7 linked regions of the Neurospora crassa OR74A genome follow. The protein of the gene in region 2 binds, or shares a complex with, the protein of the main gene of each other region. Links are inferred from orthologs where the notes say so. Each region holds a gene or a part of one and is shown on either strand. Other genes may lie near its edges.

What was found.
Region 1: NCU05714 (region 2) and NCU17114 share a complex: the UniProt entries of both Saccharomyces cerevisiae proteins name them as parts of the mitochondrial large ribosomal subunit. The link is inferred for Neurospora crassa OR74A from reciprocal best matches to the Saccharomyces cerevisiae genes MRPL10 and MRPL39.
Region 3: NCU05714 (region 2) and NCU01474 share a complex: the UniProt entries of both Saccharomyces cerevisiae proteins name them as parts of the mitochondrial large ribosomal subunit. The link is inferred for Neurospora crassa OR74A from reciprocal best matches to the Saccharomyces cerevisiae genes MRPL10 and YML6.
Region 4: NCU05714 (region 2) and NCU00952 share a complex: the UniProt entries of both Saccharomyces cerevisiae proteins name them as parts of the mitochondrial large ribosomal subunit. The link is inferred for Neurospora crassa OR74A from reciprocal best matches to the Saccharomyces cerevisiae genes MRPL10 and MRPL44.
Region 5: NCU05714 (region 2) and NCU08299 share a complex: the UniProt entries of both Saccharomyces cerevisiae proteins name them as parts of the mitochondrial large ribosomal subunit. The link is inferred for Neurospora crassa OR74A from reciprocal best matches to the Saccharomyces cerevisiae genes MRPL10 and MRPL3.
Region 6: NCU05714 (region 2) and NCU07549 share a complex: the UniProt entries of both Saccharomyces cerevisiae proteins name them as parts of the mitochondrial large ribosomal subunit. The link is inferred for Neurospora crassa OR74A from reciprocal best matches to the Saccharomyces cerevisiae genes MRPL10 and MRPL51.
Region 7: NCU05714 (region 2) and NCU06768 share a complex: the UniProt entries of both Saccharomyces cerevisiae proteins name them as parts of the mitochondrial large ribosomal subunit. The link is inferred for Neurospora crassa OR74A from reciprocal best matches to the Saccharomyces cerevisiae genes MRPL10 and MRPL16.

What each region holds. Positions count from the first base shown.
Region 1 is NC_026506.1:2,292,454-2,295,923, reverse strand, and holds NCU17114 (hypothetical protein), read right to left. Parts: upstream 2,030-3,470; 5' UTR 1,741-2,029; coding exon 1,728-1,740; intron 1,597-1,727; coding exon 1,480-1,596; intron 1,057-1,479; coding exon 1,007-1,056; 3' UTR 501-1,006; downstream 1-500. Other genes in the region: NCU03974 (hypothetical protein), read left to right, coding at 1-191; ala (alanine aminotransferase), read left to right, coding at 3,112-3,229. UniProt on the Saccharomyces cerevisiae protein: Component of the mitochondrial ribosome (mitoribosome), a dedicated translation machinery responsible for the synthesis of mitochondrial genome-encoded proteins, including at least some of the essential transmembrane subunits of the mitochondrial respiratory chain.
Region 2 is NC_026503.1:604,545-608,065, reverse strand, and holds NCU05714 (mitochondrial 54S ribosomal protein YmL10/YmL18), read right to left. Parts: upstream 2,329-3,521; 5' UTR 2,204-2,328; coding exon 1,863-2,203; intron 1,738-1,862; coding exon 1,140-1,737; 3' UTR 501-1,139; downstream 1-500. UniProt on the Saccharomyces cerevisiae protein: Component of the mitochondrial ribosome (mitoribosome), a dedicated translation machinery responsible for the synthesis of mitochondrial genome-encoded proteins, including at least some of the essential transmembrane subunits of the mitochondrial respiratory chain.
Region 3 is NC_026505.1:4,618,903-4,622,473, forward strand, and holds NCU01474 (60S ribosomal protein L4), read right to left. Parts: upstream 2,357-3,571; 5' UTR 1,965-2,356; coding exon 1,884-1,964; intron 1,805-1,883; coding exon 836-1,804; 3' UTR 501-835; downstream 1-500. Other genes in the region: NCU01473 (mitochondrial large ribosomal subunit YmL35), read left to right, coding at 2,631-3,195, 3,279-3,571. UniProt on the Saccharomyces cerevisiae protein: Component of the mitochondrial ribosome (mitoribosome), a dedicated translation machinery responsible for the synthesis of mitochondrial genome-encoded proteins, including at least some of the essential transmembrane subunits of the mitochondrial respiratory chain.
Region 4 is NC_026501.1:6,595,368-6,598,525, forward strand, and holds NCU00952 (mitochondrial 54S ribosomal protein YmL44), read left to right. Parts: upstream 1-1,336; 5' UTR 1,337-1,630; coding exon 1,631-1,811; intron 1,812-1,976; coding exon 1,977-2,092; 3' UTR 2,093-2,658; downstream 2,659-3,158. Other genes in the region: NCU00953 (hypothetical protein), read right to left, coding at 1-233, 335-684; NCU00951 (inorganic pyrophosphatase), read right to left, coding at 2,980-3,158. UniProt on the Saccharomyces cerevisiae protein: Component of the mitochondrial ribosome (mitoribosome), a dedicated translation machinery responsible for the synthesis of mitochondrial genome-encoded proteins, including at least some of the essential transmembrane subunits of the mitochondrial respiratory chain.
Region 5 is NC_026504.1:2,488,259-2,492,403, reverse strand, and holds NCU08299 (mitochondrial 54S ribosomal protein YmL3), read right to left. Parts: upstream 2,801-4,145; 5' UTR 2,511-2,800; coding exon 1,191-2,510; 3' UTR 412-1,190; downstream 1-411. Other genes in the region: NCU08300 (uncharacterized protein), read left to right, coding at 3,298-3,300, 3,385-3,404, 3,513-3,695, 3,810-3,879. UniProt on the Saccharomyces cerevisiae protein: Component of the mitochondrial ribosome (mitoribosome), a dedicated translation machinery responsible for the synthesis of mitochondrial genome-encoded proteins, including at least some of the essential transmembrane subunits of the mitochondrial respiratory chain.
Region 6 is NC_026503.1:4,406,055-4,409,261, forward strand, and holds NCU07549 (mitochondrial 54S ribosomal protein MRPL51), read right to left. Parts: upstream 1,937-3,207; 5' UTR 1,756-1,936; coding exon 1,714-1,755; intron 1,630-1,713; coding exon 1,547-1,629; intron 1,245-1,546; coding exon 953-1,244; 3' UTR 501-952; downstream 1-500. Other genes in the region: NCU07550 (triosephosphate isomerase), read left to right, coding at 1-324, 388-416; NCU07548 (hypothetical protein), read left to right, coding at 2,436-2,697, 2,804-2,931, 3,018-3,123. UniProt on the Saccharomyces cerevisiae protein: Component of the mitochondrial ribosome (mitoribosome), a dedicated translation machinery responsible for the synthesis of mitochondrial genome-encoded proteins, including at least some of the essential transmembrane subunits of the mitochondrial respiratory chain.
Region 7 is NC_026502.1:2,003,427-2,006,447, forward strand, and holds NCU06768 (mitochondrial 54S ribosomal protein YmL47), read right to left. Parts: upstream 1,775-3,021; 5' UTR 1,539-1,774; coding exon 1,098-1,538; intron 1,014-1,097; coding exon 872-1,013; intron 803-871; coding exon 636-802; 3' UTR 501-635; downstream 1-500. Other genes in the region: NCU06769 (activator 1 38 kDa subunit), read right to left, coding at 1-87; NCU06767 (replication factor C subunit 1), read left to right, coding at 2,255-2,360, 2,423-2,468, 2,525-2,566, 2,630-3,021. UniProt on the Saccharomyces cerevisiae protein: Component of the mitochondrial ribosome (mitoribosome), a dedicated translation machinery responsible for the synthesis of mitochondrial genome-encoded proteins, including at least some of the essential transmembrane subunits of the mitochondrial respiratory chain.

The sequences.
Region 1 (3,470 bases), on a different chromosome or scaffold from region 2:
TTGATCCTGCGGAAAACACCAACTCGGTCAGTCAAACGAACGGCGAGTCCCAATCACGGTCTCAGTCCCAGCCACTTTCGCGATACGGGGGCGCCAATGATGAGACCCAAGACTCCATGACCCTCTCGCAGAATGCAAACAAAGAAGACGGAGATGACTTGCCTCTGCCTCCGCCTGGGAATAAGTTATGATCCATATGTCGATGCATGGCGTATTTGTGTGGATTGGAGACTGTGTTTCGAATGAATTGAGATTCAATATGTATACGACGAGAAGAGTGTGAAAGAACGCCTGTAAAATGTTGGGAGACGGGTCTTGTGACTAATGAAAAGTTTGATTTCCACGAAAATATAGAAAGATGAGATAAAGCGATGTACGATGGCAAGAAAAGTCAAAGATGTCGAGGTGTCATGACAGACTGTCTGATCGCGATAGAAGAGTTATCCTTACCACACAACACAAGAGAAGGGAGAGCCACTTGGCAGTGAACCTGGGTCACGCCCAGCATTGCCGACGGCCGAGGGGCGTTGTGCTTATCTCTTGACTTGTACATTCTCTAATCAACCTGGCCCATCGGTAGAGCGAAGAAGCAACAAACGCTCCATGGTGCCAATCCATAACTCACAGGGTGATGTTATATACTGATGGATCGGTGGTACAGTAATAATACACGACCAGAGACTGGATGGAACGAGGGACCCCATCTTATTCTTGCGCCTCTCTTCTCCATATATCCAGTCCAGTTCCGGTCCGGTCCACCCCCCTCTCCAGCTCCAGCTCCAACTCACTCGCCAGCACTGGCCATTGTCTGCTGGTGATCTGCTTGAAACACAACCCGGTCGAAATCGTAACTTGGTGTGACGTGGTAATCCGTGGAGGGGGTGCTGTAGCTTTTTACTTGTCGCTGCTTCGCCGCTACGCTCTTTGATTCCGTATCGCAGGCTCCGCGTTCTCGCTCTGGCTCTCGGTCGTTCGACGGTCGTTAGGCCCGGGGGCGAGTAACGATCTATGACCTGCCCTTGCGTTTCTGTTCGAGGAAGAGGACCTTGCGGCGAACTATGGTGGAGAGGCGAAAGGGTTAGTAGGTATTCCTTCCTCTTCGAGATCCGTGATTGGGAAAAATTGTCTGTCGTAGGCAAGTGTTTCTTCCGTCCCCTCCTCTCTTCTCTGTTGGCCGGTTGGTTGGCTGGTTGCTTTTTTTTTTTTCTTTTCTCGAAGGTCCGTACGTTATGCCATCGTCCGAGTCTTTGAACTGTTGCGTCCCAGCCTGATCCCAGTCCTAGTCCCAGTCCCAAGCGAGCTTCCCAAGGTCCGTTCGACGAAGCGTATTGGGGTGTTTCGAATCGTGCAAATCGAGAAAGCCCGCAACCAAAAAGAGTTCCATATCATGCCCGTGTCGTCGTGTCCGCCGAATCAATCATGTAGGTGGTTGGAAGCGAAAGAGGTAGATAGGAATGAGGGGAGAGGATATGCGCATACCGATCGGATCGTATTTCAGCATGCTCATAGGCAGCGAGGTACGGGGACGGGTGAAGGTGTAGAAATAACCCGTCATGGCCATTGAGATCAGGCGCACGTTAATGATGCGGGACTTGGCTGTTTGTTGTTTACCTATCAGCAACTATCGTCTTCTGTTTTCGGTTTCCGGTTTCCCCATTGCATCGCTTTTCCCTTTAGGAAAACAAAGCAGTAATTGCAGACACACGGGTGAGGATGGAGTCGATTACCCTTCTTCGCCATGTTGAACGACTTTTGTTGCGCTGTTGTGGTGTGCAACGGCGCGCCTGGACTGGACTGGATCAAGTGCGGTACGGCGACGGGCGACGGGCTGGGGCTCGTCCGGACGGAGAGGTTCGCAAACTGCGGGCGGAGGGCGGGCGGATTCACGGAGCACGGTCTTTGCGCCGGAAGCTCTCCAATCGACGTCGGGTCGTCCGCGCTTCTTGCGATTGCGATTGTAGATTTTGCCTGCCGGCCCGCCGGGGGTGCGTGGGCCGTGGTGGGGCTGTGGGTGGGTCGTGTGCGCTCCTAGCTGGGCTTGGCAGGTGGCTGCCCGCGGTTTAGTGTACTTGTAGGATCGGTGAAGGCAAGGTGAGGAACAAGCTGAGTGTAGTGAGCTGAGAGCTCACCGAGGAACCCCAGAGGCCTTGGCCAAAACACAACGGGCGTGATATCTATCAGAACATCTCACACAAATTTATTGACAACATCAACACCTTTGCTGGGCTTGTACACTGAGAGAGATGTATTCAAGAACATAAATTTGATATTTGTGTACCGTAATTTCAACATGGTGACCGTTGACAGCACTGTGGCTGTAATCATGCCCGTCCCGCCAACAAGGCGCTGGAAGGGAACTGTGTAAGTCGACGAAAAGGATAGTTCCTGGATACTAGATATAGTCCACTGGTCCTACACATGCCGCAGCTACCTCTAGAGGTAGAATACAACGGCCCGGATTTAACGTTGGCTTGTCAGGCAGCACAGCACAGCAGCAGCTTATCTTGGCGGCTACGAAACAGCTCAGCGATACCGCCTCGTCTGGCGGATAGCAGTCCGAATCAGAATATGGCATTTGTTTGATTGACTCTCCATACTGTACCAAGACTGTAGTCTCGATTCGGACCTCTGCGACCCCGCCAGAAATGGATCGCGGGAGCAAAACCGGACCGGAACGAAGACTCTTTTGTAACAAAAAGTTCTAGACCACACCGCTTTCCGTGCTCCTGTTTCGGAGCTCATTAGTTCAGTTTGGGTTGCTACATTTGATGAAAAAAAGAAAAAAAAAAAAAAGTTCGTGTGTTCTTCTGCGTGCTATCTTTCCCCCCCCCCCCCCCCCCCCCCATTCATAGTGTCTTTGCGTCTGCTGTGTCGAATGCGGTTTGAAAACCCAACCCAACTGACATAAACTGGACTCAGCCCTAAATCACATCCCGTCCTCTCGGTACTCTCGGAGCGAGTCAGCGCACCATCAACGACAAGTTCTTCTCCCGTTCACCTTTGACGGCATCTCCGGGAGTCCTGTCCCCCCCCACCCGGCAGTATCGAGACCCTCCTCCCCTCATCCATCAATACGTACACTTCATCAGAAAGAGATCGACAATCGCATCGATGGCTGCCGGACTGTCAAACGCCCTCAAGACCGCCCGTCACCGGCTGCCGAGCGCGGCCGTGAGAAATTATTCAATCCCTGTTCAGCAGTCGGCGTGGGGTCCGGCGACATGCGGAGGTAAGGATCACCAAACCCTTGCCATTCGCCAAAGCGGCGCGAGTTTCTCGTCCGACCGACGCGGATCGATGTGCTTTATTGCGTCGCTTTCACCTTCCCGAACGTACCGTTGCTTCCTCTTGTCCCGAACTTCCCCAACTTTCTTTCCCCGCGTTTGCAACTCTCTCCGTTGCAACGGTCTTGGCACCTGCTTAAACCGCAGCTGTCCATCTGCCTTCACTTTCCCATTCCCCAATGTCAG
Region 2 (3,521 bases):
AGCCAGAAGAAGAAGAAGAAGAAAAAGAAGAAAATGAAACACAGAAATGAAGAAAAAAGTTGAAGCAGGTCGTGATGTTGACAACGACAAAGTTTGGTCTCTCCCGCTCGAGGAAAGAAAAGTCAAGATGCATCAATGATGACGCCGCGGCGGGCAGAGTGGGTGGAGGGCACGCGCCGACTCCAAAGCTGACACAATCCCGTTCGGGAGGGCTGCATACAGTGGCTTCAGTGGACGGTTCCCGCTGTGGAAGCTGGGCATGGTGATTAGGGGCATTAGACTGGTCCGTGCATACTCCACTTTCTTTAAGCCGAAGGTATCGAAAGTCACCCGTGTAATTACCGTAATTACAAGACATATGGTCGGCATATGGTTGACATATGTCAATATTAACGATTCACATTCACATGCGGGGGCCTCTCACCGGCCCCCTGCACCCCCGGAGCTAACCCTAACCCTAACTAACCCTAACTAACCCTAACTAACCCTAACACTAATTGGTAATTTGCAGAGAAGTCGGGTATTGACGGCTGTTTTCGGACGTAATTACAAGCTGGTATGGAGAAGGTACCAAAAGCGACCTGGCACGTGATCAGACCCATATTTTCTAATGCCCCCATTCACCGTCCCCGTGGAAGCTGCCCTGGAAGGAATGGCCGGGGACCGCCCAGGACCGGGACTTGACCGGGGTCAGCTTGCGGGATTGACATGTCACTGGCCAATGGCTGTTCTTCCGACTGCCAGGTACGGGACAGCAAGTCTTCGAGATCCGTCGTTTGGACCATGTCAACACGCAGCCAAGTGATATTTACTTTATAAAGCCCATCTTCGAACTACGATGGATCGCAAAAGCAGGAACACGTCAATCAAGGGAGTTTCATGATTCACCTGCGTTGTCAGCAAGTGGAGTGCTGGCCGCATGTGGGAATCCACTCCCGTAGGTGAGACCTGTATGATGTACAAGGACCCAAATAGAACTGATCCGAGGAGCAAGACGCTGGACTGACAATACGCGGATGATAATAATACAACACAAAGCACAGAGCCATGAACGGGCCCAGTACCTATCATACAACAACGAGGAAGAGCGCAACAACGAGTCTCGGAAAAACCGCCATCCCAGGCAATGTTCGTGTTCATTAGAAGAGCTTCTCCGACGCCACATCCCCGGTCTTGCTGGCCTTGACCTTGTCGGCCCTGACCACCTTGACCTTCTCGCCGCCCGTCGGTACCTTGAAGTACAAACTGGGCGACTCGCCAGGCGCAAGCTGGTGGCTGAGGTAGCCCCTATGCGCCGGGTCTCTGTAGTACTCAATATCCCAACGGCTGGTCGGGTCCGGCAGGCGGTAGTACTTCTTCTTGAGCGATCGCGCCTGCGCCAGGATCTCCTCCACGTGCTCCTTGCCCACCGGCAGCGGCTTGTCGGTATGAAGAGACTTGCCCTCTACCAGACGCTTGAGCGATTCCTTGGTGTAGAATCGGGTGACGATCTTGCCGCCGGCAGCCTCGATGGCCTCAATGGCGGAGGCGGACGCGCGCGATACGGTGATGGTGACGGGGATCTTGAAGCTCTCCTTGCCGCGGCCGAGAAGCTTGATGCCGTCCTTGATGCTGCTGCCAATGATGCCGGACTTGATGATCTCCTTGGGGGTAATGGGCTTCGTGGGGTCGATACGGCCGGCTTCGATCCATTCCTGAAGCTTTTCGAGGTTAAGCTCGGACATGTCGGCAGCGAACCTATGAAAGACACAAATGGTTAGTCTCCATCATGTATCTGGTAGGTATAGGTTATCGGATAGCATGCTGGAGAGTTCTTGGCCATGGCGCATAGCAAGCGAGGTAGGGAAGTCGGGACGGCATACTGGTTAACGAAACCCTTGCGGCCGTGAGAGACGATCAAGGGCGTCTGACCACCCTGGAACCATGGCTTAACATGACCGTGGGCCTTCTGACCCTTGGTACCGCGACCGGCAGTCTTGCCATAGCCGGACGAAGGACCGCGACCCTTGCGAATGCGCTTGTGGTAGGCGCCCCGGTTGTCGGACAGGCTGGCGAGGATGGATGCGCTCCTGGTCTGGACGGAGAGGGCAGCAAAGAGCGAAATGAGGGACGACGTCGGCGACGAGGCTGGGACCGAAGGGCGGGCTGTGAGGGAGGCCTGGCAGCATCGCGCCGCCTGGGCGAGCGGTAACCTGGGAGGCATGACGGAGGCGGAGGACACGGGAGTGGGTTGGGTCTGGGTCGGGCAGTCTTCCGGATTCCGTTCCTCACGGCAACGGCACTTCCCCGAAAACAAAAGTTCAGGACCCGCGCCCAGCCAAATTCCGACACCTGCGTCGCGGGGGTGGACCGTGCGCCCTCGTTGGTCTCGGTCAATTGCGAATGGGCGGCTGAGTCAGCAGCTGGTCCACATCCGACGTCCTTCGCCAAGGGACCGTGATGCTCCAAAATATCCATGTTCGATATCACTTACACGGGATATGCAAGAACATGTCAAAGGTTCAGTGCGGTGAAAGTCCCTAAGAGTGATTGTACCGCGGCTTAACAGGCTGAAGAACATCTGGTGCGAGTTTAGGGAATTTTTCCACCCAGTCGGAATGATCATAAATTGAGTGTCCCGAGGCCATTGGAGGTGCGTTGAGAAAATATTGTGCAAGTACAACTGTGGGATGCTTAAAGTATTGCCTTTGAGAGCAACGCAAAACAGGCAGCCAAGAGCAGCTCATACTAGAAACCTATTATAGATGGGTCTCAACTGCGACCTACGCTAGAATTACACAGAAGTCCTGAAGTAGGGCGTGTCGAAGGGGGTTCTGTGTCAGCCATGAGCCAATCGAGCTGGTGGGGTTCGGGAGTGTTGAGAATGGCATGAGTGACATACACGCTGGAATTGCCTGAATGTTACTTTGATTTACTGAAGGTGTTTGTATGGCTGATAGAAAGAATGTAATTGTTAAGCCTTCTTTGCTGTCGGATAACGTTTACTGCAGAACAGAGCAAGGGACAGCGTGCAGTCATTTCGCGGGATAAACATAACCGATCGTGATGGAACTTTCCAAGTCAAGCAGAGAAGCGCCGCTCCGAAATGGCTTTTCACTCAAGTCTGTCTGAATTTCAAGCATGGAATGTCAGTCCCAAGCCCAAACCACGCGCCAGGTACCTGCCACCGCTCCTGCCACCGGCAATCGGTCGGCACGCCCTTCACCGACGGGAACATCGGATGACAAGATCCCTTCCCGCCCAGGCCGCAAACCTCTAGTACCCTCTGCTGTAGCCTACAGGTATTATATAAGGTCGGGTTCCCTAACTGATCTCTCTGGCATAACGGAACTCTGTGATCTTTTGGCACAGTGGTTCCCGTTGATGAAAATGTGTGGCTTTTTCGTAGGTCTGCAGTTGGGGTATTGTCGTTCGTTCTACAAACTTACCTGGGCGACCGAGCTTTTTGCTCTTCATGTCAATTGGACAGCCTCTCAGGGCCTCAAAAATGTGGTCTCTCAATATTTGCTTTCTGTCTTGGG
Region 3 (3,571 bases), on a different chromosome or scaffold from region 2:
TTGAAAGATGAAGAAAAAAATGAAGAAATCTCCAGTCCGAGAAAGGATTGTGGGTTGCCAAAAATTCCCCAGCCAGCCGAAGCCAACTGAGAGCGGTCAGGTATGTAGTTTTCAACTAGCAAAAACGCGATCTCGGACGAATCCTCACTGATACGCGTAAAACCCCTGCACTTGGATGGAGGAAAAAAAAAAGGAGAAGGAAAGTTGAAGATTGGGGGAAGGGTTGGCTTGGTTAAATAGGCGCGGGGAGGTCCCGAGCCTTGGTCCGTGCACCAGTGCAAATTCCGGGAGGAATTCCATGGCGGGCCGGCAGCGGGCTGAGGCGGGACTGCCAAGCTGTTCAGGCAGTCGGCTGTTGGCTGTTGGCTGCAACTTCCATCTCGTCCTCTTTCCATCTTCAGTTGTTCACTTCACTGCAGTTCCTGTTGGCAAAGGGGTCATACCGGCAAGGCTGCCCAGGCATTGCCAGCAGTAGTGAGTGGTGAATGAAACACTGCAACTTCACTCCAAGAAATGACATTTTAGTTGCGCATAACTGTGTCACAGTCACAGACTACTATACCGTTCTACTTAACCCCTTGGCTTTTACACAGTTCTCGCTTATTATCACAATGCAGAGAGGGAACAAGGCAAGCCAATTGCTTCCGAATAACAAGGGAAACTCGTGTAGGTACACCGTACAAAGGAACATGAATATTACACTCATCGTGCTGGACAAACCGTCTTCTTCAGTCCGCCCTCCTTGCGCGATTCATATGGTACAAGAGTGTTGCCGGTGGTTGCACACACACATTCACTTCTGCTGCTGCTGCTTCTTCTCCATCTTCTTCCCTGTCTAGTATCTCGGCGCCCTGACGAGCACCTCACCCAGATTGGGACCCTTTTGGCGGAGCCCTTGGACTGCTACACGGGTGACGAGGTCGCTTTGGTGGTCCTCGATCATCTCCTTGAGCGCGCTGCGCTCAATCACTATCCTGCCCGTCTCCAAAAGATCCTTGACATCGACATCCCACAACTCCAAAGCGCGACCCTCGGCACCGGCCAACTCGAATCCAGTGAAGAGGTTGGGGCGCTTGTCGCCCGTGATAAAGGTCGTCCGGCCAGCCTCCTTGCCCCAGTTCAAGCTGGTCATGAACTCGTGAACCCACTTGCGGACGTAGCCGTCCTCAAGCTCACGGCTGAGCTTACCGCCGCCGGCAAGCCAGAGGAAATCGTTGGGAAGGGGGAGGTCGAGGCCGTCCTCGGTGACGATGAGCTCGCCGCGCTTGTAGCGGTAGGACAGCGCGGTGCGCCAGGCCAAATCGTAGACCTTCTTGTTAAGCTTCGTGCTGAAGTCGCGGGGCTTGGGGCCGAAGGTCTTTCCACCACCTTTCATCAGAGGTGACTGGCGGGTACCACGACGGGCGTTACCGGTACCCTTCTGGGGACTCATCTTCTTGTGCGAACCATGAACTTCGTAGCGTGTCTTTGTAGACGCCATGCCCCGTCGTGTCGAGTCACCTTCGTAGATGACGGCCAAGTGGAGGATATCGCGACGCAGCGGGAGGTGAAGGTGACGGGCTGAGTAGGATTCGAGGGAGCGCGGCTCGAGTTCGGGGAAGGAATAGACGGTCACAGGAACGTTGGTGACTGAATCGTGGGTTAGTACCTTTCCAGCGCGGGCGATGTTGTCGAGGTTGGCAGTCGTGTTGGTGCTCATACTGGGTTGCCATGGTTCCGAGACCGATCTTGTGATATTGGCGGCAGGAGGGGTGGCTACGGAGGCCATCGACCGTCTGCAGGGAAGAATAGAGGATTGGCGCATCTAGTGGACATGGTTTGTACTGGTGAGCGAAAGTCGTAGGCGGGTCAGTAGCAAGACGGTGGACATATGGAGGACAAACCGGCAGTGCCCTGCATGACTTGGAAGCAATGCTCAGCGCATTCATGGCCTCGTTGAGGCTCTTGAGACCCTTGCCGGCCATGGCGGCGTTGTGATATGGCAAGGTGACGGGAGTTACAAGTTAATGCAACTCGGATGTAGTGGAGGTCAGGTATGATATGGTGGTGCTCGAGGCAGTTGTTCGCGGGAGGAAAAGAGAGACTAGCAACCACGGGCCTGTGCGGACGGAAACGTGGAGCGCGCTTCGGGGCGAGGGAGGGACAACGGAACGGGACCGAGACGGGGGCTCTGACGGGATATGCGGTGGTCGTCGCGGGCGCCGGTCCTCCCAGTCAAGTCGCAACGATTCGGCCGACGAGGGGACTGGACGGAGTCTGGAGAAAAAAGATCTGGAGTGCGGGCAACGTGCACGTACAGTGCGCTGCAGCCATCGAGTACCCGTTTCTGGCGAGCTTTCTCGCGGGGCACGCCCGCTACTCTGCAACCCCCACTATAAGTACTTCCAATGAGCGCACTGTGCTGCCGGCCCCGGGGTCCACGAAATTTTGGCCGCAGTTCGAGTCCGGGCAGGTGGGCTGCAGCATGGAACGAATTGAAGGACCAACGAACCCTCCGTCCCGTCCCTGTCCCGTCCTTGACCCCGTCCTCCCCGTCGACGAAACCTTGAGTGCAGCTCCTCTCGATTGAGAGCGATCCCGCACTTCCAATACTCTCCCCTCCGGCCCGCCTGCACACATTCCCACCCGCCATGTCGACGTGTCAGCAGGTCGCGCGGCCACTCGTCCGCTGTCTCCGGCAAACCGGCCCCGGCGCTGCGACATGTTCGACCCGGTCCGTCGCCGTTGCCGCCGTTAGGCCCTTCTCCTCGACCCCGATGCGCAAAGAGGAGGGCGCCACCACCACCACCACCACCTCTCCTGTCGACTCCACCACAACACCACCACCCCTTCCTTCGGCAACCGAGGCTAAGGCGACAGTAGCAGACACAGTAGTCGGAGGTCCAGAGCTTGGGTCGCGAAGGAGAAGGGCCGCCCTGGCCACCACCGGCAACCTCCCCTTCGAGCAGCTGCCGTACCAGTGTTTCCAGGATGCGCGCAAGATCCTGCAGCAGGACCGCGCGGCCAAAATCGCCCAGATTGTCAAGGAGACGGAGAAGATCAAGCTGATCGAGGCGCGGGATGCCAGCGAGTTCGAGGGCGGCGAGGCCGCCAAGCAGACACGGATCAAGAGCTTGAGGAAGTATATTGAGGAGCTCAAGATTCTGGCCGACATCAACGACCCCGAAGTGAAGAGGCGTTTCGAGGATGGCAGAGGTTTGTATTTTCCTTTCCTTTTCTTATGACGTTTACTCCGCTTCGCAAGTCTCAGTCTAACGAACACGTTTCTCTGCCTCCAGGTGACATGACCAAGCCCGTCTACCGTTTCATGGCCGAGCGCCGCTGGCGTTCCATGGACTACAAAATCATTGCGCAGCGTATCTCGCAGTTCCACGTCGTTCCCGACCTTCTGCCCGCCTTCGACCCGACCATGGACGTCAAGCTTTCCTTCCGTGGCTACCAGGTTTCCCCGGGAGCCATCCTCGACTCGCGCGTGACCGAGGTTGCACCCACACTTCGCATGCAAGTCTTCGACAAGGGCGAGCGCCTCCTCACTGTCGTCGTCATCGACTCGGACGTTCCCGACGTCACG
Region 4 (3,158 bases), on a different chromosome or scaffold from region 2:
CGGCGGGGGTTGAGAGAGGGGGTGGAGACGTCGTCGACGAGGTTGGTTGAGCACCACCGCTGGGGGCAGCAGCAGTAGATACGGGTGTTGAGGCGCCTGATCCGCGGTCTGATGCGGCGAGGTTGGCGGCGACGGCAACGTAGGAGGCTAAGAGGAGCTGGCGCTCGAGGCGCTGGGCGGTTTCAAGGTTGCGGCGCGCCGCGAGTTGGGCTTTGCGGAAGGAGGTTCGACAGCTGTATTTTTTTGAGACGCAATTTTGTTAGGTACGTTGTTTATCTTCATCTTCATCATCGTCATCACCATCCAGGCTGAAAAGATGAGAAACAAAACTCACCCCTTAAGCTCGGCAGCCAAGCGTTGCGCGCCCTCCTTTAACCTCGTCTTTTGATGTTCCGCCTCACTCCCTGGGCGGCCGGAGCGCAAGTCGATAATCTCCTCCTGCAGCAACTCCAAATCCTCCTCCTCCTCGCGCAAGACCTGGCTGATTTCGGCGCTCAAGTCAGCGGCCTCACTGTTGGTGGTTCCATCGGCGCCAGTGTTCGCGAGACTGCTGATGCTGTTGCTCAAAGGAACGGAACCGGGCTCGAATTTGAGCGTGGCGAGACGCTCGATGAGGTCCTTAAGCTGGCCGGTCGTCTCTTGGAGGGCCGTGAGCCGCTCTTGAAGCGTTTCGAATGTTGACATTAGTGACTTGTTGTATTATGTCGGTATTGCATTCGTAGGGAGTTGACTCGGTAAAGGTAGATAGATATGTGTTGGAAAAAGGTGGATGTGTAACAAATGGTTTCCATGGATCGTAGTCGGATCCCACTTAGGTACCTGGTGTTGATCAGCAGCTGTGCTGTTGTTGATAATTAGTGGAAACCTGGCCTGAAAGGAGAGCACTGTAGCGATGTTCAATGGAAGTTCTCGGTGGGCGTGGCTCTTGCAACGTCATCCTCAAGGTCAATGAAAACGGATCACATGCGGAATTCGGTAACGGAGTTCAAGTTACAACTCGCTGGGGCAAATGGGAGTACGTACTGTTGCGCTGAAGGAACAAAGCACAAACTTACACACTCAGGGCTACAGACTAACACAATGTAATAGAAGGCCAGAAGTGATTCTCTTCCCGTTCAGAAGATTAAAAAGATGTATTATGTCAATTGATCTGATGTAGTGTAAATATGAATGCAAAATCGAGCCTGACACCGTTTGATCCCAGTTGGCTCCCAACCAATCACAGCCCATCTCTCACACGTAGCACGCGCCGTCCCGCATTCTCCGTTTTACAAAAAACACCCCTCCCGGTCCCCGGCGCAATCGGTACGTACCTCCAGTAATTTTTGATCGCATCCCTCCTCCACGCTGCCGGCCGGCGCCAGGCACGAAGACCGAATCGAAGTCCAAATCGCGACACACAAGCTACGTACCCCGTCCGATCCTCCACAGAGACCCGTCTCCCGTCTCCCGCGTCTCCGTATCCGTCCCCGTCCGGTGTGCAGTGCAGTCCCGTCGTCGCAAATTCGCAAAGTCGCAGTCAGGCCTCCGCGTTCCTCCTGCTTCTTCTTCTTCTTCTTCTTCCTCCCCGAACCCAACCCCAACACGACCTCAGGTCACCACCACCACCACCCGAGAGACCTCGCCCAACATGCTCACCCGCTTCATCACCGACGTATCAACGCGCTTCAACCCTTTCTCGGCCAAGGCCAAGGCCGCCCGGCTCTTCCTCTCCTTCCTCCCTCCCAACGCCCGCTCCAATGGCATGAACATCACCACCCAGCTTCTGCCGCGGAATTCCACCGAGACTCCTTTGCTCTACGTCAAGTTCAGTACGTTTTCCCAATGTCTCTCTTCTTGTCACTTGCAACTCTGTCACACATCGACGGACCGCCGTTGCAGTTGGTTGTTGCAATTTGGATCATTCCGGCTGGAAGGCAATCAAGAGTCGTTAGCTGTGAATCAAGCCGTAGTCTAACGTATTTGAAAAAAAACAGAGGACGGCAAGGAAATGAACCTCGACGTTGAGAACATGGGCATCAAAAGCATTGTCGAGGAGGTGGATCGCCACTCTCGTATCCTTCAGAAGCAGGCCGACTTGAACGACGGTTAACCGAATCTCTGTCTTTCTTTTCTTCTTCAAAACCCAGCAATCTCGAGACGCCCTTGTTGTGTTTTGATCCACCAATCGAACTTTGCGGGTAAAACGAGGGAGACTGAGACTAGGAAAAAGGAGGGAAAAGCCACGGGAAGAGCGACGAAAGCCCATCTTGTCTTGATACCCAGACTACTTGGCTTTGGTCCGTGGTACCAAAATGACGATTGACCGGGAGGAGAAGAGGAAAAGTCTGGATATCTAAAGGCACATTCGAATCACCTGGGTAAAGCCAGCGAGCTTGGAGCCGGATACCTGACGACCTCTCTGAGAGATCTGTAAGATCGCCTTACCAGCCAAAAAGAAGAAAACAACAACAAAAGATATGAACCTGTATTTGTATTGGGCAAGAGGTTGTAAGTGTACACCAACAGCATTGGGAGGCGTTAAGGGGCCGGCGATTTTCAGTTGGCAAGGCAGTTTGGGTACCTGTTGTTATAGACATGCGTATATAGCACCTCTGCCATGGATTGATTCACACACATCACGGTACGCCCATTTTGACAAAGTCAAAGTTGAGATCGGCCTTTTTTTTTTTTTTTGTTTTTGTTTTGGCGACCGTGTTTCCTTCGATGGGGAATTCATCAACGGTATCGGTATATTTCAACGGCGAAACTCATGGCGCAAGAATGTCGAGCATCTCCTCGACAAGTCCCTATCCCACGGCATGGACTACAGCCTCAGAAATGGCCAATCTCTGACCGCGCATACCTTGTTGCAAAGACGTTCGACTCTACGCAAAACAACGCATGAGGGTAACACCATGGAGGATTGTTCACGACGAATTGACCAATACAACAAAGTGCCAATAAATTATCTTTATTCTACCTCAACAAACGAACTCTCTAAGCGGAAGCACCGCTGATGAAGAACCACTTGTCGATGGAGCTATCGATAGGGGCAGGGGGGAGATTCTCGTTGGGAGGGAGGGGAGGAAGCTGGTCAGGGGCAACACGGCTGCTGGAGTGCTGGACAGTGACGTTGGTGGTGGAGACACCGCCAGGGGCAGTCTTGCCGGTGATGA
Region 5 (4,145 bases), on a different chromosome or scaffold from region 2:
TACCTTAACAATATGCCAATTCTATAGTTGTCAAAGTCTCCTTCATTGATCCCTTTGCATCAGGTCGCAAGTTCTGATGAACGTGTTTTTGGAAACGTCGTGACAAAGTACCAGGAGGGGGTGAGAAAGTGAGGACGCAACTACAGAGAGAACAGTCCACATTTCATCTCCCCTCTCACCAACTTCATCTTCCTCTCACGTATAAGATAAACAAGAGCAATGTGAAGAAAGCACAAGGCAAAATAGATACTAAACAACCTCTAGTTTGGATGAATGGAAGGCGCGCAAGCTTGGGAGGAACTTCCAGGCTCGATCTCGTCGTCCGGTCTTTTACTCTTGCCGGTTGCGTATTCCCATTTCTTCCTTTACGATGCTTGTTATACAAAACAAGGGCTTACACATCCTGGAATTGTACAATGCGTGTAAATTGCGTAGTACCATATTCTCTCTTACACAGCCTTCTCCTCATGCCAGAGCAGTCAATACGTAGAGGAAGGATTTATCATGTCATGTACTTCGTTGATGCCTCGTAAAAAATTTGACTTCTTAATGCTACACATACAGACGATGATCTTCCTTCTCCCTGGCCTCGGCTACTTTTTTGGTATTATACACTGAGAAAGAAGGACACAGATGCCACCCCGACGAGGGTTGTGTCTCTCTTTGTCGAAAGCAGAGCCAAGCAGCCACCATCCAGACCCTCTTCATTCCCCGTTCCGTCCCAACCCCCCTTTGTATTGGTATATGTGGCGGGGGTGTGCGTGTGTGTACATGTATGTCCGTTGCGCGCAAATCTGTATACAACATCTCGTCTTTGGCAAAAAGAGCAAGAAACAATGGAAGGAAAGGGAGTGACTGGATGGGAGAGGACCATCCATTTAATATCCCCTTCCTTCGCAGGACGGAAATTGCCCGCTCTCAACAGGACAGGACAAGAGTGGAAAGGTAAGCTGAGCTTTTAGACCACACCAACAAAATCCACTCGTTGTTTTGTTTCCCTCTCGATCCTCTTGCGTCGATTTCCACAAGGGGAACCTATCCCGAGTTGATGGGCCGCACAACCAATAAAACCGAGAGTGTAAGCAGGCCATCTGCGACTCTCTTTTTACCTTTCGTTTCATACACTTCCTAAGTTCTCTACTGCCCTGCCGTACTGTCCGCCGCCATGCTCCGTGTTTCAGCCTCCTCATTTAGCGGGAGATAACCTCACCCATATCAATGTATGCTGGCGTCCAGGGCTTGGCACCCTCCTCCAGCATATCACTGGGTACCCGAGGGTTCTCGCCAGGGCTGTAGAGATACCAAGCCTTCAGGGCGTTCATGGCGGCCTTGAAGCGGGCGTGGTCGAGAGAGGAGGCGGCGCCCTCGCCGAGCTTGTCGCTGCCGCTGTATATACCGACAACAAAAACGGGGGTGCGCGACTGGCGACCCGTCTCGGAGAGGAGACGAGCCACGGGGGGCTCGAAATCCTCACGGGCGCAGAGCGCGGCGAGCTCGCGGGTGGGGTACTTGAATTCGAAGAGCTTGGCAATGTCGAGGGTGCGCGACATGATGTGCGCCTTGACAAAGGCCTTGGCGGCCTCGCGGCCGCAGTGGGCGTAGATGGCACCGACGACGGCGCGCACAAAGTAGGCGTGGGCCCGCTCAGCAGCGGCCCGGGTGTCGGGGTTGCCGTAGCGGTCGTAGCTCACGTCCTGGTCCTGCTCATTAGCGACCATCTCGGCCTCCTCCTCGTCGGGAGTCTTGTCCTGATCCTGCTCTTCCATCGCCTTCTCCAGATCGGCGGCAACCTTGGGGTCGCTGCGCACGACATCACCAAAGTCGTCGTCGAGAACGACACGCGAGGCCATACCGCGACGCCACTTGAACTTCTCGAGGTAGGCGAGCTCTGTACGCTTGTAGCCGAAATTTGTGATGGCGACGCCGGGCTTAAGGGCATCGAACTGCAGAAGACCGGGATCCACCTCGCCGCCGGGCACCGCGGCGGTATCAACACCCCATGACCGCGCAATCTGGAGCAAGGGCTTCGGTCCGGCATAAGCCTTCATGGCACTGAAGAGAATTCCCTGGGGTAGACGGGGGTATTTGCAGAGGAGCCATTCGGCAATATGGTAGTTGATGAGGGTCTGGCCAACGAAGGCGAGGTTGGCGTTGTTGAACTGCGGGTTCTCGTCGGCCGAGGCGTCGACCAGTGTCCTTGCCAATGTCTGTAAGGGGATCTTGGGAGAAAGATTCAAACGGGCGTGGAGGGCGGCCAGTTTGGCCGAGGTCAAGGCCCGTTCGGGGAGGGGCGACGGTAGGGACTCGGCCGCGGGGGGGAGGGGCTCAAGCGGGGGGAACCGATCATTGTTGAGATCGTGGGATGCATCGTGCTGAGCGAGGGCAGCTGTCGATTGCGATCGCACCGAGATTGCAGATCGGGATCGGATGGCGGCAGTGGCGGGCGACACTCCGGAGCGAGCGGCGACGAGCAGCCGGCTCGTCAAGCTGGGCGTTGCTATCCTCTTCATGGGCGATATATTTGATGGGTGATGGTCGGCTCGACAACCGGGTGTTGACGTGCTGGGGCCCAGGTTCCGTAAGTGTGCGCCGTCTGGAGGCCCTGCCAAGAAAAGGATGGAGTGAGGGAAATCGGACGGGCAGGTGGTGAGCCGGTGGTCGCGGGGTGGGAAGCTACTCGGGATCCCGGTCGGAGTCGCGCGTTGATCGGATGGGTTCTCGTTCAGACTCGGCCGGCCGTCGAACACGGGTAGAAAAAAAAAGTTCTCCAATCTGAACGCTCACCACCCGTACACTAGACAAGCCCACCACCCAGAGCCGTGAATCAGTGCTCAAGCGCAGGGGTTACTCCCCCAAGACCGAGACATAAAAGCCGGCTGACATGATTCGTTGTTGGCCCAGTGAGGGTCCCCACAAGATCCATCTTCGACCCCAATCCACTATCTGCGCTGTCTGTTTAGCATACGGTGCACTGTGGTGGACAAGCGGGAGCTGCCCGCCCGCCGCCCGCCGCCCGTCTGTCGCATGCGCCCTCGGCCCCAGTTAGGACGAGTGACATGGTGACTTTCAGGCCTGGATGGTTGATGCGATTTAGCCCCTCGTCAGCCTGTAGGCGGATTCATCATTCGTCCTTCTATCCAATTGTTCCCGCTGAAGCATCACCACTATTGTGCCGTCGTTCGCAGTGCATCGCAAAGTTGACAGTACAAACCGATCTTGCTTAACTGCGAGGTGGAAAGAATCATTCCTCGTTGAACGTCCAACCTACCTCACCACATATCCCAAAACTTCATCACAATGGTGCGTATCCACCCGATTGCTTAGAATAGCCATCATCACTACTATGTTTTGTGTCTGCTAACTCTCTATTTTTCCTGTCTATAGGGCGGCGGTCCCCAAGTTCCGTGAGTTTCATCGCCCTCGACATGCGCAAACCCTCCGCGCATTCTGTCCAACCCAGCCTGCGTTGTGTCATGGATCCGTCCTAATCGTTGCCTCGCCCTTCACTCCAGCTACCCCAAACACGTCTGGTCGCCTTCGGGTGGTTGGTACGCCCAGCCGGCCAACTGGAAGAAGAACACGGCTGTTCTCGGTGGCGTCGTCTTCCTCATCACTGCCGCAGTCTGGAAGCTTAGCGCCGAGAAAGAGTACCGTCACAAGATGCCCGAGCCTGGTCGCTTTTATCCCAGCAGATAGTATGTCCTGGCAGACAGACCCCCATCCAAATTTTTATACATGCGTAACGTTTTCCGCGAGCGCAGACCGCGGGGATGTTCTTAAGCTGACGCAACCGATATTACCTCCACTAGCTGGAGCAGACAGATTATCGAGTATGAGCGGGCGCAAAAGGAGAACGGGACGACACAGGAGAAAAAGTAAATTTGGGCATAGGCCCTGCCACCCCGGCCGTTTGGTCATACAGTACATGGCTTCCAAAGGCTTGATGGAATAACAGGACATCTTGGCTTGGTTGAGGCCGGCCGGTTGGTGGTAGTAATGCAATATTCGGAATACATTCAACGTCGGTTACCCTCCGCTGGCCGTCTTGCGTTGGTGCTCCAGAGCCTGGCTACGTCGTGAATAAAGCTAACTTTGATGTGGATCAGTTCTGTAATGGATTATAGAGGAAACTACCTCTATTCTTA
Region 6 (3,207 bases), about 3.8 Mb from region 2:
ACACGCGCCAGGCCGGCGAGACCATCAAGTTCGTCGAGAACCAGCTCGCCGCTCTCGCCAAGGAGATCAACGACTGGAAGAACGTCGTTATCGCGTACGAGCCCATCTGGGCCATTGGCACCGGCCTCGTCGCCACCAAGGAGCAGGCCCAGGAGGTGCACGCCGCCATCCGCAGCTGGCTCAAGCAGAACGTCAGCGACAAGGTTGCTGAGGAGACCCGCATCCTCTACGGTGGCTCTGTCAACGCCAAGAACTGCAAGGACCTTGCCAAGGAGCAGGACATTGACGGTTTCCTTGTTGGCGGTGCCAGCTTGAAGCCCGAGTGTAAGTACTACCTGCCATTGTTGCAACGAGAGGAAGAAAGATGGCTAACATGATATGATGCAGTCGTGGACATCATCAACGCCAACCTGTAAATTACTTGCCCATAAAAAGTTATAGCTTTGCTACAGCCGCAATCATATAGGCTGGGAAATGGTGTTGAGGACACGGCGAAAATATAAAATAGTTAAATGTCCTGATTTTGTTCGATTTGGGATTGAAGAACGTAGTTTCGCTTCATGTAGCCCGTTCATGACTTCTGTGACACCAGATACCGCAACTCCGCGGCTCCTCCATTCGCTCTTAGATGTTCATCCCAAGTTCCAATATCAACAGTCAACCACCAAGCACCAGAAGATAATGTCAGATTCTTTGGAACTGGGGCAACTCATCATGGGAACTCGATAGCTCTGGAAGGACTTGATCACAACCATATAGCCAAACCGAAACCCTTGATACATCCAGAAACCCTTTTCATGTCCTCAATTCATATTCATACATTCAACATGGTATATACAATCCACCTGGTACTGAACCGAGCCAACACCGGCCGAGCACCAAATCCAGCCCAGCACCGATCCAGTCCATTCCAGCACCAGCACCAGCACCTGCTCCTCCCCCTTTTTCCGCTTTATACAGCCATACCCTGCCCATGGTAAGGCGACCAGACACCTCTGACACTGGGGTTCGTGCTGGTGACGGGCTTCTTGAACTTCTGGGGCTTCTCGCCGCTCGCGTCGCGGAGGAGCTCGGCCTTCTTGAGGATCTCGAGCGGCTCCATGTTGCGCACGCAAATGGCCTTGGTGCGCCCGTTGATGTAGTGGCCCATGAGGATCGGGTGCTTGGCGGGCCGGGGAGAGACGACGAACTCGATTTGCGGGTTGGCGGCGGCGAATTTGGGGAGGAGGGATTTGATGAAGCCGCTAGATGGAGGAAGAAGTAAGTGTTAGTGAAAGAGTCTGTCTGCTGAGGTCGCGAAGGGAGACTGGAGGGATAAGGAGGGACGAGGAGGGACGAGGAGGGACGAGGAGGGACGAGGAGGGACGAGAAAAAGGGTATGTAGTGGTGGATGGATGGATGGATGGATGGTCGGGGACGGCGGGATGGTCTCGAGATCTTGGGAGGATGTCGGTTTGGTTGGACGTGTAGAGGTATTGGTATATGTGAAAGATGTTCGATCGGGAATGAGGTTGCGATGTCCATATTCGAAGAATCCTAAACGTACTTCATGCCCCGGGAGCTGCCGGCCCAGTCACTGTAGTGGATGTCCAACTTCTTGCACTGCAAGACGAATGCGCCGACGCCATTCTAGATACAAAACAATCAACGATTAGCATTCTTTTTTTTCTGAAAATTAAAGTTTTTAGTTGCTCAGGCTGCGGTCTAACTTACACGGCCGGCAGAGGAGATCTGCGTCAATGCTTTTACCGTCATTGTTGTGATGCTCTTCTTCTTCTTCTTCTTCGCCGCCGTCCTCGCCTTGCAACAAGTCCGAGTCCACCAGGGTTCATGATCCGGAGGGCGGGTGCGACTTGAACTTCTGCCAGACTCCCGCCCCGTCGCGCGCCGGCACGGCACTGGGGGTGGGGGACCCGCCCAACTGCAAAAGCGGTTGGCAGAATCAATTTCACGCGATTGCACTCCTCCTTGGGTGTGTGCGTAGTGATAACGAAGACGACCTAAGGGTGCACGGTCCCTCTTTCGCACTCAGTCGTTCGGTGGTCGAGCGCGCGAGAAAGCTGCCCAGCAAGAGCTCCAGTCGCTGCGAGGCTGCCAGGCAGTGGACGACACAACACCAGACAGGGCCCTTTGCTGCTCCCGCCTCCCACCCTCTGTCTCTCGTCTTCAGCTGTCCAAGCAAAGTCGCGAAAATGCGGGTTTGACCTTTCTCGCAAACCGACAACACCACATTATCGCCATCACAAGAATTGGCAAACAGTAACAGCGTTCAGCCTTATTGAACTGTTCTCGCCCGGCTTTCCGAACAGTGGATCAAACGCCAGACGACCTACATTTCCTGGTTTCCGACATATCGATTTCATAATTCGACGACAGATAAGATCAACAAAAAAACACCACTTGACCAGCTACAACAGCGACAACGTGAAGCGACAATGACAGACCGGCTCCCGCCTAACCTCCTCGCACTCTTTGCGCCCCGGCCACCTCTGCGCTGGGTGCCGCCCTGCGATGTTGCTCCCGAAGAGCGCAAGTCGGCCTTCATCACCCCCGTTGCCGACTTCCTTCCTGCCATGCAGGCCTACGAGCAAGAATACGAGTACCATCCCACCGAGAGCTGGCTGGAGGCGCGCGACCGCAAGAAGCGCGAGAAGAAGGAAGCTTTGGAGAAGCTGTTGACCGAGGGTCCCAAGAATTGTACGCGGCAAACCCCCAACGTTACGCGCAGTTGTGCTCGCTACTCCTTTACTTGATCATGATCTTGCTGTCGTGCGGCTTGCTAACCGATGGCGTTTATCTGTAGACAACCCTAATGACGATCCCAACATCAGAGGAGATGCTTTCAAGACGTTGATAGTAGCGCGTCTTGACTACCGTGCTGATGAACAGGATCTCGAGCGCGAGTTTAGCCGCTACGGTCCTATCGAGCGTGTGAGTTTGCAAACCCCCCCTCCTCCTATATCATGATTTCACAGCTATGTGTGTGTTAATTGACAAGAACTGACACCAAAAAACAGATCCGTATCATCAGAGATACCCACGCCGATGAGAACCCAAACAAGAAGAAAAAGCCCCATCGTGGCTATGCTTTTGTCGTTTTCGAACGCGAAAAGGACATGAGAGGTAATGACCAGCCCCCCTTGACCCCCCCCCCCCCCCTCTTCTTGACATTCAACCAGCACACACAGACAAGGAAACGCCCGCTGT
Region 7 (3,021 bases), on a different chromosome or scaffold from region 2:
AAGTGACCGTAACCTCTCCGACAATTCGGTATGATAGGTGAGGGCATCGAGAGACCTCGGCCTGTGCTTGTCAACAATAAGCGCCATCGTGGTGTGGTGATATTGTGGAGAGGAAAATGGGTTGACAACGGAAGGGGAAAGAAATGCTGGATTGGAGGTGCATGGGAGACGCGTCGAGTTGACGCGCCGTCCAGAAAATCAATTAACAGATGACGGGGGATGGCCGCACGGACCATATCACCCGCTTATACAGGCCCTGGGGTAGACAGTTGCCCACTTTCGCCATCAGTATTCTAGGCAGCTATCTTGAATCTCTTTGAGTTTTGCAACGTCCGATGCTGGATATTGGATCTTCCATGAACCGACATCTAGTATAGGGCCCATTTCATGGCATGGTTGAAAGGGTATATCTAGGAAGCCAGCATTGCTTGTTGACTCGATGTGGTGCTCTGGCCCATCCAGGTAAACTGGTAGTAGCTTACGGACACATTCTCAGAGCATTGAAATCAAAGTGGTGATGCTTGTTACGTCGTCATAATAATCATGAAATGGCCATGGCAACACTCTTTTGCACATTGGCCCTTCTGTTGTTCTACATAGTGTTACAATTAGAATAGGCTCAGGGTTCTCCACCTCTACGAAGGAGGAGCAGCAGTGCTTGATGTGCTCGCAGCACTCTGGGTAATCTCTGGCATCAACAACTTCTTCCTTGGGTTCTTGAGGTCCTCCACCGTGAGGCCATCCTCCAACTTGGTGATGCCAACCACTGGTGGGTCACCCTTCTTCACAAACTCGTACAGACCTATGACTTGTCAGTTTTCTACTCTTCTCAACCTCGCAAAGATTTTGGGCCAGCATGTGCTGTTATTACCTGGAAGCTTGTGTCCGGCCAAACGGAAGGCATCACGGATGACCTGTTCGTGCAATTGCCCCCTGATCTCGAAGATAATCTGGTTGACGGCAACTCTGGTCGCCCAGTGGTCGAACGAACCCTTACCCTTACCCATACGCATCTACACCGGAAATGCATGTGAGCCTCATGTCCGCTAACAGTCGGCATCCGGCCTTCCCGGGCTGTGGGTTGTTCAGCTGCTCACCTCGTTACCGCTGACGTACACACCGACGTTACAAGCAACGCGCTTGTACAGGCGGTACTTCTGACCACGCAACCTCTGCTTGATGGTGTCCTCGGCGAGCTTGAGCTGTTGGGCGCTAATTCTGCGGTGGTGATCGCGCATGCGCAGGCCGTAATCTCCCCAAACCACTGTTGTTCCTTTGGTCGAACCACCCGTCGGCACTCTGGGCCTTCCCTTCATCATCTTCTTCTTTCTGTTGAGGTTGGGCTCGAGCCACGAACCAGCCTGGATGGCGGTCGCAGAGAATAGGCGGACATGGGAGGCGACGGAAACGGGGGTCGGCGCAATGGGGCGACGGACGGCAGAGGTTGCGAGCGACGCGGCACGGAAGGGAGTCGCCGACGAGGATATCCTAAGGCCCTGGAAGGCGCTGAGGAGCGCCGAGGAAGCGTTGTGCTTCATTGTGTTGAAGGTTTGGGTGTGGACCGGACCGGGGAGGGGACGAGTGGTGGACGGAGGACGGAGGGAGGGTCCAATTGGATGCCGGTCGCCGACGACGATTGATACGGATTCCCCGAAGCAGCGCGCGCACAGAGACGGGGACCGGGCAGAGCGACTACCTGCAATGGAAGGTGCTGCGGGCGCGGACGGGGCACGGACGGCACTTCCAAAAATTGTGACCCACCAAAAAGTGTCGGGTGCCGGCCGCGACATGGAATCTGCCGGACACAGCAGACAAGCGGGACCTGGGACTCATTCATTGACTCCTCACAAGAAATACAGCTGCGTGGGCGTAGCTCAAGGCAGCAAGTTGGCGAATTCTTGTAGGACAAGGCCCCACCAGTCGCGACAGGGGAGCAGAGCCCGGACACAGACTCGCGTCATCCACTTCACCTTCGCGTCTCACTCATCATTCAATTGTTACTTCCGTCTTTACAAGGGACAAGAGTCGACCCGTTAGCTCTTTACCCTTCTAGGCCTTTTGTTCAACAACACTTGTTAGGCAGAAGGACAGCTGCCTGGACAACTCAGACACCAAGAACAAAAGTCCCTACTTCCCAACTCCGCCACTATAAGAAGATGCTTGCTGGTGTCATCTGATTGTTACATCTTCCCAACCTTTTGACACATTCAATTTATCATTTTGTATCCAGTGATTTCTTCTCACATACTCCATCATGCCTGCCGACATTCGCTCGTTTTTTGGTCCAAAAGGTGGCGCGCCGCCTGCTAAGCCGGCAACACCAGCACCCAAGAAGGAAGAGGAGAAGAAGACCCGGGGTAGTAAGCTTGAACCATGATCGCCATCACAAGCTTATCACGTTATATTAACAATCTTGTCGCAGGGCCAAGAAAGGTTGTTGAGGACAGCGAAGATGACGAGGTTGTTGAGTAAGCTTAGTGAAAAGCATCTCTTCTCAGAACTAGCATCTAACCAGCATGTGTAGAGTCAAAAAGCCAACCAAGGCTGCGCCAAAGAAGAAAGTAGCGTAAGTGTTTATGAAACACCTCTCAGTTCCATGTCATCCTATTCCTGCTGACAGACTATCTAGGGAACCCGTAAAAGGAGTTGAAACCGATGCTGCCAAGTACTTTGCAACCTCAAAAACAAAAACTGCTGCTGCGTCCCAGTCAACACCGAAAAAGACACCCGCAAAACCCGAGCCAGAAGAACCAAAAGTAGCGCTTCGAACAAGCCCGCGGAAGAAAGCCACCCCCGCTGCCAAAGCACCAGAGCCTCCCAAGACTACTACAAAGAAGACCTCGACTACGAAGAAACCCACGACGGCCTACAAGAGTTACGACAAGGATGACGATGGCGATGCCTACATGGATGATGAGCACGATGCTGGAGAGGACATATTTGCGGCGGAATTCAAGGGTGGCAGCAAGAGGAAAAAGGACGACGACTATGCCGAGGAGGACAGTGACGAGGAGCTCCTCC